Linked DNA regions of Drosophila melanogaster. The protein of the gene in region 1 interacts with the protein of each later gene in a pairwise test. Each region holds a gene or a part of one and is shown in the gene's direction. Other genes may lie near its edges.

Evidence for each region. The genes of interacting proteins can lie anywhere in the genome.
Region 2: the proteins of Hesr (region 1) and CG15459 interact in a two-hybrid assay, tested with the Drosophila melanogaster proteins (one large-scale study listed by BioGRID).

Annotation. Positions count from the first base shown.
Region 1 is NC_004354.4:18,203,892-18,206,985, reverse strand, and holds Hesr (HES-related), read left to right. Parts: upstream 1-1,841; 5' UTR 1,842-1,865; coding exon 1,866-2,027; intron 2,028-2,155; coding exon 2,156-2,443; 3' UTR 2,444-2,583; downstream 2,584-3,094.
Region 2 is NC_004354.4:20,411,839-20,415,534, reverse strand, and holds CG15459 (uncharacterized protein), read left to right. Parts: upstream 1-1,953; 5' UTR 1,954-2,037; coding exon 2,038-2,094; intron 2,095-2,263; coding exon 2,264-3,115; 3' UTR 3,116-3,194; downstream 3,195-3,696. Other genes in the region: CG15458 (uncharacterized protein), read left to right, coding at 1,448-1,510, 1,573-1,701.

The DNA of each region.
Region 1 (3,094 bases):
TGGAATCCCAGCCAGCCGTAATCCCTGTGACCCACTGATGCCAACGCATCGTTGGGCGCGAAATGTGGAAGAGTTGTCAATGCCACGCGGTGTGGCCCCCCGAAGAGCGCGCCAATTTTCACCGCCCGACGTCCCACCAACACGCATAATTTCCCACGCTCCCGGCGGGAAGTGTTGGAATGGGCGGGGAATGGGGGTTGCGTAGCAGGGGGATTCACGAGGGGGAAGTCCTGACAAGTTGTCAGCGGGGCTGTTAATGAGCTGCGTGTGTTGAGTGAAAACGTGATGAATCTACACTGCCTCGGCCCACTTGTGCCTGCCCAGAAATGTGTAAGTAATCCCCGAGTTCTCAAAGATCAGCGAAGATCAAAACAAGATCTTAGATTCCAAGTCATGGAACGCTTAGCATAATAGCTCACCTACTTGTGGGAAAACTTTTAGAAGTGCATTTAATCGTTAGAAATGTTTTACAGTCGTATAAGGTAAATTATTCATCCCATTCAATAAAATACATATTTTGCATAAATTATTGCAATTTTATAGTTTTTTTTTTTGGAAGTTATGTCTCCTTAACTACCCACTGTACTAAAGATCTAAGGAAAATTGACTTTATAACAGAGATAGAGAGTATAAGCTATGTTATACCCCCTTATTTAAAGTCCAAGCTCAGATACCCTGCAGTAAGGGTATGCAAAGTATTGCAATTTGCGCACGAGCAGACAGCGACAACTATTTGATGATCTGGGGATCGGAGCAAAGTTCTCTGGCACACAACATGTGTCGACTCCCCTGCCACGCCCACCGGTACCGCCCCCCGGCCCAGTGTGGCGTTTAATAGCTTGCCTCAGCAGCTTGCCGCAATCGCGTGCACCAATGGTAAGTGGGGATCGAGCGTGGGAAACGCGCCCTTGCCGTAATCCCAAAAAAAGGCCATTTGAAAAGCACAAGTCCCTTCGCAGAAATATCAACAAAAACAAGGCAGCAAATCAGATACTTCAGCTGGCGCGGAAGCCATCGCAGAAAACCAAATAAACAGAAGCCTCCAGAAACAGATTCTCATCGGTTTTGACACCAAATGAAGTTGTATAATAGTCGAGTGCACGGGAAAAAATATTCCAGAACGTGAAGAAATATTTTAATTTTATATATCTTGAATAACATAAAGAATGGTGTTGACAAACACCACAGAACATAAGTTTGTAAATTCATACAAGAGAATTCAACTTGTATCTTAACTTGTAAAATTAGCTATACTTTCAAATAAATATTATATCTCCAATCATTTTTTAAAGTGCAAATCAATTTGTGATTGAGATATAGGCATACAGGGATTGTATGGTCCAATATATCTGGTGTCTTCTGGTTTTCTGTGAATTATTTGGAACTTCCCCAATTCGCGTTCCCTTCGAGCAACCAAGTATCCCAGTAACCAGCAACGTTTACTTTTCCGATTCCTAGGAACCCCAAGTAGGTGTCTTTAGGCCGGCGACAACTTTTGCCATCAGCAAATTTTCCTCAATGAAACACGCATCGTCTGCAGTCGACATCGCTGCTTCGGTTGCGTAAGCTGTCAGAAATCTGAGATGGTTAATGCAAGGTAAGTAAAAAAAATAAAATGCGACTGAATAATACCTCGCAGTATTTAGTACTAAAGACCAAAACAATTGTGAAATACGAAAGATGCAAATTGTGCAAAGTAACTGTAAAGAAAACCAAGGGATTCATATATGGGATGAGCCCATATTTCCGTAAAACTAATATGCCCTGAGCCGTGCTACTTAGGGTGTATCTAAGCTGCCGCTGCTGCTCCAATTCCTTGGGCCATTCAGTCGCTTAAGATCCGAAGGTGGAGCTGGGCCAGGCTTATGATGGCACGTCCCGAGGAGCAGAAGTCTCATGTTGGAGCAAAGTCACGATCTCATCAGTATCGAGAGGTTTTTAAGCCAATGATGGAGAGGAAGAGGCGGTCACGCATCAATCGCTGCCTGGACTTTATTAAGGACCTGCTTCAGGAGGTGTCGCATCTGGTGAGTGGTCTCACGTTGACCTCTGACCCATGGTCTTCTTACTCATCTCAGCTCGTAGCAAAATGATTTTGTATATTGTATCTCTTAAAATTGATACAATATAATATGTTTGAAATGTTTGCATACAGGACGGCGAGACCATGGCCAAAATGGATATGGGAGATGTCCTGGAATTGGCAGTTCACCACCTGAGCAAGAAAAACTGTCCGGTGGCCACGCCCACCACAGCGCCTACATCCGGAGTATATCAGAGCCCAATTGATTGCTATTGGAGTGGCTTTCGAGAATGCGTCCTGGAAGTGTCCCAATTTCTGCAACACAACGGCTATCAGCCGAGTTTCGAATTTGCGAAAGAATTGGATCATCTTGTGGCCTCCACATCCAAATCCAAGCCAAATCTCTGGAGGCCCTGGTAGTCGTCATGGGAAATATCCACTTAAGTTCCTCAACTCACAATTTTTAAATAGGATAATTATAAACTATTTAGACCCAAGTCCACTAAAGACAGTTTTACAATAGAGGCATGAAATAAAACTGCACATTCGTTTTTTGCTTTAAGTTTATCTTTTTCTTTTCGCAATAATTCCAAAAACTTGTTAGGTATGTGGTTTGTGTGTAGAATGTAGAATGTGTGTAGTGTAAGAATGAGTTTCCATTGGGGGTTTAAGTTTAGAATCGTTTTAATTGTTAATAAACATTGCTTAATGCATTCGAATGCTAAATTAAGTATTGCTTATGTTGAATATAATGCACACAAAGTAAGATTTTCATCTGCTGCTATCAGTATCGTTAACGTTATATCAATGTAGTAGCTTACTAGATACCCAAAAAAAAAATACATATCAATAGAGTAGTCGAGAAAAGGTGTTCTTTGAGATTATCCTTAAGCTTATTGGCTTTTTGTTTAGCAAATACGTGTGAGTGAGCATGGGATTTTCTTACAGTCTATGCTGAATTTTTTTGTCGGGACCCTCAAACTTTCCGCCTTTGTATGTACAATACGAGTATATGTATGTAGTTCACAATAATTTCGAGTTTGAGTGTAAGAAGCGCGAAAATTGATTGTT
Region 2 (3,696 bases), 2.2 Mb from region 1:
GTTAATTGACAGTGTACACAGGTATGTGGTCACCGTGCGAGGTGGCATGCGAGGCGCGATTCTGGCCGAGATGCGTTGACAATCCCATTGCTGGGCCGCATTTCCCCAGTGTTCATCAGCGATCATGCGAATGCAAATAAGGTTTCAATCTGAGATCTAACGGGGCGGTTCCAAAATCGGTTCCAGAGTTAGGGTCGCATGGATACCGCGCATCCAGTTTTCCGTTTTGAGGTCAAACAATGTAAAGATAATCACAATCGGTAATAATGTTTGGTATATATCTTAAAAAATTATAAAATAAAATCTATTTTTACAAATAGTTTGCTATTTACATATACTCCTTCAAGATGCTGATTTTAAGATATACTATCTGGAAAAAAAAGTTTTTATATTTTGATAGTCCACCAGATACCACCAGATATTTTGCTACCACCAGATATTTTGCATACCAGATGGTTGCTGTTTTTTTGTTTTTTTTCTGGAGACTCACATAACAAGTGGCCATTTTTTTCCAATATATTTAAAAATTTAATTACAAGGCAGGCATTTTAAATATAAGCCTTGTAACCCCTTAAGTAAGTCCATTACACTCACTTTAACCACCTATTACCTTGTATGCAAATGAGTAGTTCGGTTTGATTAGCATTCAAATTAGTTGCAAGTTGGCATTTATTTGGCGAAATGTATTTCATTTGTGCATTTAGTACAACTGATGACGTTGAAATAAGTAGTATTGCGTGTGGCATGAGCCCAAATCGCTGATAAAGCTAACTGCAATAAATAATAAATGTAAATTATAATATCACAAAAGGCTTATGTTTGCATTAGCATAACTGAAGCGTACAGCTAAATAGGCCAGAATGTTTACATGCTAGCTAGGTGATAAAATACATTTGTAGAGGATATATTAGATATATAATGGTCGATCGATATGCGATGTTAATATCAGATTCCAAGACTTTCATACGGACAGACATAGCCATATCGGCTTGGCTAGTGATCCTAATTCCGACCAGGATGGCAAGAAGTTCTGTGTGACATACAATTTTCAACGAATCTAGTAACTGGTTTAAAAATAGTTATAGCTGTAACATGCTTAAAAATTTCATAAAATTGTAAATGGTATTTAGCTCAATGAATTCTGAAGTTGGTTAAAGGTACAATATGAAAATGTCCAAAACTTTCGATTTGCCTCTTGCATATCTCAATTTTCATCACAGTATTTAAGCAGTAATTAATGGGTATCCCATTAGTCGGTACTAGACTTCAGCATTCTCTCTAGTTGGGAAACCCGAGTCGGCTTTGACGACTGTCAGTAACATTCCTTTCATTTCGAACGTTTAAAAGTCACAATCCGAATCCCGGTCTAAAATACAGGTCGAATATCGAATCCAAATTTTAATCTTTTGTTAAAAGCCACGCCAATCCGGTCAACAACGATCCAAAGATGTCCGATCATTTCAACTTCAACGAAGCCTTCAACAGCCAGACCATGCGTGGTCGCGCCAATGTAAGTGATTCAGTACACGGCAGTACACAAGATGCGCCCAAATACGCCACCGAAACCCACAGGTAGCCAAGGCCACCTGGGCCTCGTTGGGACTCGTCTACGTCCTGGTCAAGATGCACCGCCGCAACACGAAGCGGCGCGAGACCAAGCTCTACTGCAAGGGCTGCCAGCAGGCCATGCTCCATGGCTAGGGCGCCGATGCTGCCAAATCATTGAAGTCATGGCTCCCCACCGCTCCGACCCATTCGACCCGTCAGCAATCCATAACTATTTATAATCAGCACCCCCTTTCCGGTCCTCGATGCCACAGTTAAAGGCTTGGGGACCAAACTCATGTACCACCTCGTTGAGTCAATAAAAATCGAATCCTGCCAATGAATCGACTTTGTAATCTAGTTGGCCGAGCTTTGCACTTCGCTGCTTGTCATTAGGTTCTCGCTCGGAGCTATAGGCAGAACACACTCAGCTCTCACCCGGACCCGACCCCAAATCCAGATCTCCAGATCTCCAGATCCAGTCCAGTAGCAATGGCCGACGGCTTTAAGAAGTACTTCAATGGGACAACCATCAATGGACGCGCTAACGTAAGAGTGATTCTATTGAACGCACACAAGATAAAATGAACCATCGCTTTGGAGCTGTTGATGGACACAAAATATTATTTTCAGCTCCAAATTGAAATTCAAAATTATTAATTTAACATTTTTTTACATACATTTTTTACAAATACATATACTATGACCCATTTCGCAGGTGGCAAAGGCCACATACGCCACGTTGGCCCTGTTGTTCATCGTGTACAAGCTGCGCCGCGGATCCGGCAAGACCGGCGAGTTGGCCAGCGGCAAGTGCAGCTGCGAATCGGACCACGAGTCGTCCCTCAATGGCGACATTGGCGTCTACGGCGCGGATCCCGACTGCTCCGTTTGCCGGGAGCGATCGGAGCGGGCCATGACCGAGTTCGATCGCGAGCAGCAGCGCCGGGCGGCGGGCGAGGATGACAATGGTTGTCGCGACGATCCGCCGCCGCCACCACCTCCGCCCACATCGGGAGGATCAGGCTCTGCTCCGCGGCGCAAGTGTCCCTGCGAGGAGCCGCAGCGTCGGGCGGAGGGAGCCGTGAAGCATAGCAGCCACAGCAGCTGGGCGCGAGGCCAGCAGATTCAGCCGCCAAACCAGTACCAACAGTATAAACAGCCCGAGGCGGAGCAAGTGCGTCCGGCTAGCCAAGTGATGGGTCAGGTGCACGACGCCTTCTACAGGGTGCTGCGAGGAGTCGTGGGAGCCGTTTTGGGCAATGCGGCGGTCAACACCAGCGGCACCGCTTCCGATTCCCCAGCTCAGGCAGCCGCAGTGGAAGTCTCGCGGGATGAGCTGGACGAGGATGAACGTGACGACGGCCAGGACGATGAGACGCCGTTAAAGCGCCGCACGGCACCGCGCTCTTGCGTGCCCACAGGCAGCCAAGAGAACGCCTCGGGACAGCCGGAGGAACTGGGCCGGGAACAGGCCGACGACCAGCCGCAGGCGGAGGAGCAGGCGGAGTACAGCGCGTTCAGCGATGGCTTCACTTCCGGCCTGTCCTTTACCAGCGATGAAAAGTAGTTGGCTAGGTCTGGGCGTAGGCTTCAAGAGATCTGCTAAATTTTTAGTCTAAAATAAATACGAAGAACTTCTTTATCTCAGCATTATGCTTTAACAATCCATTACTTGGCGCCCCCGGGTGGATCCATTTCTTTCAGTCGTTGCAAGATACTAAATTAAACGGGGGGCAATTGCTTTATAAAGTATTTTATTTAGCTTCCGTTTAGTTCAGATAGAGTTTTCTTTGCGGCATCTAACTTTTAAATAGATCATCATTATAAACGTTTTTAGCCCCTTTGTGTTCTCGGGGTTATCAATATCAATTACGTAGCTTATTAACTGTTTTGGGCGGGGTTCGGACTCGAGATGGATGGGAATGGATTGGATTGGATTCAATTGGGTTGCGTCTAACGTTTAAGCCTTGTGTTTAATTATGAGTGGACTTCAACTAACATTTATATTTAAATTTATATGTATATATAATATAATATGGAAATAACTTTAACGTTTTGCTTTTTGGTTTCATTATGCGATCGACCGATTCTTTCGCTCTCTCGCCGTCTCTCTCTCTCTCTCGCTCTCTCATTCTCTCTCTCCTCATT